2 linked regions of the Daphnia pulex genome follow. Each later gene encodes a partner of the first gene's protein in a complex. Links are inferred from orthologs where the notes say so. Each region holds a gene or a part of one and is shown on either strand. Other genes may lie near its edges.

What was found. Proteins that work in one complex are often made in the same cells at the same time.
Region 2: vacuolar protein sorting-associated protein 54-like (region 1) and vacuolar protein sorting-associated protein 51 homolog share a complex: the UniProt entries of both Homo sapiens proteins name them as parts of the golgi-associated retrograde protein (GARP) complex. The link is inferred for Daphnia pulex from reciprocal best matches to the Homo sapiens genes VPS54 and VPS51.

What each region holds. Positions count from the first base shown.
Region 1 is NC_060017.1:2,978,507-2,982,260, forward strand, and holds the start of vacuolar protein sorting-associated protein 54-like, read right to left. Parts: upstream 2,334-3,754; 5' UTR 2,228-2,333; exon of another isoform or gene 2,162-2,227; 5' UTR 2,053-2,161; coding exon 1,928-2,052; intron 1,854-1,927; coding exon 1,690-1,853; intron 1,631-1,689; coding exon 1,283-1,630; intron 1,213-1,282; coding exon 865-1,212; intron 803-864; coding exon 413-802; intron 352-412; coding exon 107-351; intron 49-106; coding exon 1-48. Other genes in the region: protein bicaudal C-like, read right to left, coding at 2,664-2,725, 2,828-2,947, 3,031-3,132, 3,218-3,331, 3,417-3,530, 3,596-3,754. UniProt on the Homo sapiens protein: Acts as a component of the GARP complex that is involved in retrograde transport from early and late endosomes to the trans-Golgi network (TGN).
Region 2 is NC_060021.1:636,267-640,020, reverse strand, and holds the start of vacuolar protein sorting-associated protein 51 homolog, read left to right. Parts: upstream 1-874; 5' UTR 875-1,071; intron 1,072-1,764; 5' UTR 1,765-1,827; coding exon 1,828-1,995; intron 1,996-2,068; coding exon 2,069-2,305; intron 2,306-2,369; coding exon 2,370-2,489; intron 2,490-2,552; coding exon 2,553-2,693; intron 2,694-2,794; coding exon 2,795-3,066; intron 3,067-3,138; coding exon 3,139-3,188; intron 3,189-3,255; coding exon 3,256-3,581; intron 3,582-3,645; coding exon 3,646-3,754. Other genes in the region: cap-specific mRNA (nucleoside-2'-O-)-methyltransferase 1-like, read right to left, coding at 1-238, 393-426. UniProt on the Homo sapiens protein: Acts as a component of the GARP complex that is involved in retrograde transport from early and late endosomes to the trans-Golgi network (TGN).

The DNA of each region.
Region 1 (3,754 bases):
TTTTAATGACTGCTGTAGTCTCTGTCTATCATCTTCAGTTACCACAACCTGCAATATCAAAAATGATTCAGTCATTTGTTTAAATGATGTCCGAAAAGAAAAATACCTCTTCTTGACGGCTTGTTTCCGTGGCAAGTACAAGGGCCATGATGTCATGAATGGCACGAATGCGGTTGAGCAGAGCTTTCAAACTTGTCATACATCGCTGCATCAAATTGGTCCATGACACAAAGTTTAAATGCTTGAGCTGCTCGTAGAGCATAGAACCTCTTTCAACGTCGGTGTCGTTGGCTGCAAGAGCTTCTACAATAGTTTGTTTCATCAAGGCTTTCATGGCGGTCAATCCTTCATCTAAAATGGAAAAATGATTATCAGTCACATCGGCACTAGCAAAAAGTGCATCAAGCAGTACCTTTAAATAATTCAATGAAGTTATAACGCCTCTGTCGTAACATGCCGTAGAGAACAGCAGTCAATCTATCTTCTTCTGTAACTAATACATCTTCTTTGAGGGGTCGATTAAGTTCGGCGGTAGTGAGGCGTTCAAACTCGTTTGAAAGCAAATTTTCGATAAGATTCTCCATTTCTTTCAACTGCGAGCTCAGATAACGGAAACAGTGAATGCTCATCAGTTCTTGTTGTACGACCTCTTGTGTGGTCCCAATAAGATCCAACGCGCCGACGAAATCAGAAGTAGAGAGGAGAAGCTGTATAGTCGGCTGGGTTTGATGCACAGTCGCCATTAGTTTTAGTTTACGATAAACAATTGCATAATTCTGTCGAGCAACTTGCCGTTGTAATACTGAGAGGAATTAAAGAAAAATGGAATAAATTCAATAATTAGATTAATGATATTGAACACACCTTTCAACGACCCCTGAACATGCGTAGCATCAACATGATTGACTTTGAGTCTTAAGGCTTTAACCGCCGTCAGCGCTTTGCCTAATTCCTCCCGTACGGCATCATGCGAAGCAACAGCCTGGAAGAAGTCTTCCGATTTATGGGAAATTTGATGAGCTATTTGCATCTCTATCAAGTCCAAATAATAGCTCAGTTTTTCTTGGAGTGTTTTCCCCGTTCCCAAAACGTGCGATAATCCTGACTCTTTGATGAAGGGGAAAACTTTGTGAAAGGTATCTGGTTGGCTTAGGTTAAATGTAGGCTGCAAGAAAGTTTGTGGAATAACACTCAAGTCACCCTCATTTCCATCTGTTCAAAACAAAAAGTTTGGTTAAAATATTTCTTCAAATAAAAGGATTTACTGAATTAATTGGATTACCAATGGGTTTCAGTGTTGATCTTGTTGTAATTTGTTCAGTTGCTAATGTTACACTGGACTTTTTCGAAGACTTTTTGTATCTTTTGGAAATTTTCTTAAGGTATGGTGTGAAATAAGCTTCATCAACAATGGGTAGTAGGAGACTTTCAGGAATAGTAGTGTTTTCTACAAATCCATCCCCCCATGTTCTAGTAAAGAAATCCTTCTGTTTCCCTTTTTTTGGATCATTTAAAATTGCTGCCATGTTTTGGCAAGCTGCATTGACATTCCAAGCTGGCCCATCTGACAGCAAGCTTAATCTATAGAGATGCCCTTGAAGCGGAGAAGGTGTCATCCCACACAAAATGCCTGTGTAGCACATAACAGTTTATTAAATTGTTATCACATTTATAATGCAGAAAATGTACCTGCATCTTTTCCATCCTGTGTTTTAGCATGGTGTTTCATTACATGGTCTTCGTAGTCTCTATCGCTCACCCCTTCAACTGGTAATGATGTACATACTCCATTATAGCCATACCGACAAACAAATGAGCCACCTTCCTGACTACAATGATCATCTCTCAAGTGTCTAAGATTTATTACAAAACAAGGTTAGAAATAAAAGTACTTAATTATAACTTGCTGAAATGAATTGTATTGTACCTTGTAAATTCTGCTGATGTTTTGAATATTTTGTTAAGACAATAACTACAACTTCTCCATGTTGGTGAATTACTCCCACTCGATAATAAGCTTATAGAGTCGGTGTTTGTTTTTGAAACGGCCATAACAGATTGAGTGCTGAAGAAAGTACACGGAAGTGAAACTTGATCAATCGATTTACTTCAATCAAAACGTAAACCACCGGCATTTGTGAACCATAATTAATTTAATCTCCTTGAAGAATTCAACAGAAATTTCTCTTAAGAAATAAGGGAAACCTATTTAACAATAAAAAATAACCTTTTTGATCGTTTAATATTTTTCTGTCGTCAGCATTTGCCAACAGGCCAAGGTTGATGCTAACCGACATCCAAACCTTCGCTGTCTATTCGAGTGTTTCCGGGCACCGAGTCCACCATTAGCAATAAAATCAATCAGAATAGTGTGAAACTTTTATGAAAATGTTTCGTGTTTATTATATATGATAATCGTCTGGATATACAAGAGGTTGCAGCATGAAAATTCAATGAAAAACGTTAACTTGACTCATGATAGAATCAAGGGCGGAAAAGCATTTTTTCCTCCGAATTACAGTCAAACAAATTAATAAAAAAAAGGGCTTGCACAACGGCGCATAAAACGTGAGAGAATAGTTATAAAAAACTATTGCAGTCCGAAAGGAATCAGGATACAGATGTTCTGTGTCAAAACTAGTAAAACCGTCGCATGGTGAAATTTACAACTGACAAAATTGCGAGTTTTCTTCAACGGCACAGCTAATTGGCAAGTTCTTCAGTTCTTAAAAGAAAAAGAAACATTAAAAAAGCGAACAAGATTTTAAAGAATAATAATTTAAAAAAAAACCCGAAGAGATGATCTTTTTAAATTCAACCAAGTCACCTGATATTGCATGCAGCATCAATTTTCGTGGGCGGTATGCGGTTACTCCGATGCTTTTCAGATCATCATCAGACAGTGTAGTGAACATGGCCAGATCCACCTCATTTGCAAGAAATAGTTCTAATTTTAAAGCAATTTAATAGGACATATGATATTTGAGATTTTAAAATTTTTCGATTGTTCATCATAATATTCCAACTAACCACAATATTCGAATAGATCTGATTCTTTCAGCATCTGGCATAGTTGGCGATATGAGTTTTTGTCAAATTTTAAAGTGCAGGCCGGCATCTTCACACTTTCGTCTGTGAAGTAAACAACACACGTGAAAACCAAATGAGATAAAAAAAAATTTCAAATTATTAAGAAATAGTCTCGAAGATGACCCACTAGATGGTAGCAAAGGTTTTGAGTGTGCTCTTTGACCGCCCGATTGGTAAACCTCTTCAGTGGTTTCACGGAAGCGAGGTTGTTGTATAACAGTTCGACTCCCAACTGCTGGAACTTCAAAGGATCAAGTCGAAGGATAGAATTTTTCCACCTCATTATTAGTTAGACCCTAAAATACTTAAAAATGTAAACTCCTTACGAAAAGTACGTTCGGGTTCTTGAACTCTGGGTAAGCTGAGCGGGAATCCGATGGGGGATAGTCCGTTGGGATTGGGAAGACGTAGGATTTGTCTCCGGAATTCATAAATGTTGCCTGTAGACCAACAGTCACAAACTAAATGATGGGAGACTGGGCTAACGGTTGTGTAGCATACATACCTGCATTCTTTTCGTAACTGATGATCTGAAGCAGAAAGCTGCTCGGTTTGGTGCTCGGTTCCATCTTGACCGCCACGTCCAAACGTTTAGCCAACTTTCGCTCGTTGACACCAAAGGTCAAATGAATAGCATGGACATGAAACATCAGCTTCATAGGAA
Region 2 (3,754 bases), on another chromosome or scaffold:
GAAGGCATGATAGGCTGATCATCATCACTAGAATCAGAATCTTGACTACTGGATGGTGCATTAAACCCATATCCTCCATCAGCATTACTTTTGGATGGGCTAACAATGACAGTGCTACGTTCACATGTTTCAATGTCATTTAGTTTCTTTCTTGAGTTAACTTCTCCTGTATTATTATAATACTGTGTGTTTGGTTTTTTCAAAGGAGGTCTGTAACTATCATCATCTGAACTGGAATCTGTAGAAATTTTGCAGGAAATTACTTATATTATATATATATAACCCATTAGTTGCAAAACGGGTTCCACCAATTTATTCAAGCTAGGTTAATTATTGCTGAAGATAAACCAACTTTTTTCTATAAAAAAATTTAAACAGCGTCTCATACTAACCACTCAGTGATGTTATTTTTCCTTGCGAAGCCATTGTTTAGCGTTTTGTAGTTGTGTAGACTATTTGATGACTGACGTCGTTCCTAATAATATAACGTTTCCAAATTTTTAAGTTAATTCAAAAGCCAAAAGCTTCCAAAAGTTGATTTCCATGATTTATATATGACTCACCAGAATTAAACGTACGCATTGACATGTGGCTATAGAAGTCAAAATGCAAGCATCTTGAAAATACACAAAAAAAAATGTCTGACGAATGATTTAATAAAACGATCGAATGACCGAACGGAAGAAAGTAAACACCGCTCGTTCTTGCTCACGCTAGCATAATCTGATATCTGTAGCGATGTCTGCTACAGTCTGGGTCTTTCATTTTTATTGGCTGATATGAAAATATTTTGAGTTTAGTATCAGTACATAGAGGGCAGCAGATAAGGTGGGGTCAGCTGTTAGTGTGGTGGTATTATTGTGTAATGTAATGAGCTAATCAGCCAGCAGCTCTCTGCAGACTGCATATCCAAAACCTAAAGCAAGCCGGCCTGTCATAATTTCTTACCTGTTATTTTTATGCCTTGGGTTGGCGGTTTGAGACTTGAAGCGTTAAGACATTCTGACATCAGCTCGCGAAACGTCAAAAACTTACATTAACGCTATCCAATCCCCAACCATTCGATTTGCAGTTACAACCACAGACTAAGAGGGTAAAGACTACGATCAGGGATAGGGCTAAAGAGGGATGCTTGAAGCGATGCTCGTCCTATGCCGTATGGTGGCGCGTCGAGCACACAAAACGAAAGCCATTATTTTTCCTCTTTCCCTACTGATTAGAGTCTTCACACACCGTAAGTTTATAATTAAACCATTAACATATCAATAGTGATGTTTTGTGTAAATATAGCTTAGATATCTCCCATGTTGTGGGAATTTTTTTAAATTTCTATGTGATGTCTAGATACAATCTATAAATTCCTTTATTAAACCCCCTTTTTGCCCATTTTCAGGCCCAGGAAACAGCGTTTCACGATTTTCAGGCCCATTTCAGAAAATCTTGAAACGCTGTTTCCTGGGCCTGAAAATGGGCAAAAAGGGGGTTTAATAAAGGAATTTATGGATTGTATCTAGACATCACATAGAAATTTAAAAAAATTCCCACAACATGGGAGATATCTAAGCTATATTTACACAAAACATCACTATTGATATGTTAATGGTTCAATTATAAACTTACGGTGTGTGAAGACTCTAATCAGTAGGGAAAGAGGAAAAATAATGGCTTTCGTTTTGTGTGCTCGACGCGCCACCATACGGCATAGGACGAGCATCGCTTCAAGGGGTTTATAGCCGTTCGTGGTCTTTACCCTCTTAGTCTGTGGTTACAACTAAAGAAATGTATGTGCGGTATGTGTAATCACTAATCAGTTGGTGAACAGTGCCAATGAAAAACGTCAAAATGAGTAAAGAACTAAATGAAAACGATAAAAGAAAAAGAAACAATCTTCTTTCTCAATACTATGGGATAACAGAAGAAAAGGATGTAGAAAACCTTTTTGACGTGGATGGAAAGCACTTTAATGCTGATGCCTATGTTGACAAACTGGTTCAGGTAATCATATTCTATTTCTTATTTTGCCAAATAATAAAATAAAACTTTTATGTGCTTGGATGTTTTTCAATAGGAAACCAGCTTAAAGCAACTTATAGATAAAGAACAGGAACTTGTTCGTGAAATTCAATCACTTGATTCAGAAATGCAAACTTTGGTTTATGAAAATTATAATAAATTTATCCTTGCCACTGATACCATCCGCCAAATGAAAAGTGATTTCAAAACTATGGAAGATGAAATGGAGAAGTTAGTTCAAGACATGTCTCATATTGCAACATTTGCCAACAATATATCTTCAAATTTACAGGTTGGTGAAATATTTGAGTTTAGAGTTGATTAAATTTTTAATAATAATGACCCTGTCTTTTTAGGATCGGCGCCAACAAATAACAAAGCTTTCAAACATTCACGAACTGCTAAAAAATTTGCAATTTTTGTTTGATCTTCCCAACAAGCTGAAAACATGTGTAGAAGAAAAGAATTATTCATTGGTTTGTTTCATTGACATTATCTGTCTATATTTCCTGTATTAAACTATAATGTTTCTTGTTTAGGCTGTTAAGTATTATGCAAAATCTGAGCAAGTTCTTCAAGATTTTGGAGATCATCCTTCTTTTAGTGGAATCCAATCAGATTGCAAAGAAATTGTTGAAACACTCAGGAAATGCCTAAAGGTGCAATTCAGCAGAGCTGAGGTAAGCTGTAAAAAAAATATTATGTTGGAAAGTAAGATAATAAGAAACTAACCAAAATGTCTATTGTGGAATTTTACATGACATGTTCATGGAATTCATAGGTAACTTCCCAGGAACTAGAAGAATCTGCATCTCTTTTATGCAAACTAGGTGAATCTTCCACTGACCTTGCAAGAGAATTTCTTGAAATCAATAAAGTGAGGTTAGAAAAAGATTTGGAAGATCTATCCTCATATGTGTGGTCTGGTGAAAATAATGGAGAAGTGGTCCTCATATTCATTGAAAAATGCTGCAATACAGCATTGAATAACGTTGCTCTTACCATTGCAACCTTCAACAACATTTTCCCTTCAACCATATCGAAACATAATGAGTATGTTTTACTTTTTATTGATTTTATGGTTTAAATTTTTTGCGTTTTCATCATAATACGTTGAATTAACAGGGGGATGAATAGCATGGCCACGGATGTTATTAATCAACTTTGCCCAATAGGTAAGGAGCTATATATTTCACCCTAGAAATTAGCTCATGTCATAAAATTTCCTTTTCGTCCCTGTAGTGGAAAGTAAAATTGTCGAAATCATCGGATTCGAGATAAGTGAAGCCTGCTGTTTGTCAGTAGTTGCGGCTTTGGATAAATTTCATCGTCGTCTATTGGCCGTTCAGCGACTATTACTGGTGGATAAGCAATGGAGCTTCACTCTCATTACTGAAATTGCTCGAATAATTTCACATCGAACAGCCGACGCTCTTGTTATCAAATGGACAAGTGAACTACAAGGCTGGCGTGATTCCTGGAATAACGATAATCAGCCACACGGTTCGGTCAAATTTATTGAAGGGGCTCTCGTGGAACACATTCATCGTGCTTTTGTTGCTCTAACGGTATTATCGTAAGGTTCTGTGTCATTTTATACCCGTTAAAATTCAACATTTATTTTTTATTTAGGCCTTTGTAGGAAATCACGTTACTTTTTCTCAAGATTCTCAATTCCGTCAGACATTTGGTCGACGTTACGTACGGGAAGAAGTATTAGTACAGTCGTTGAGTAAACTTT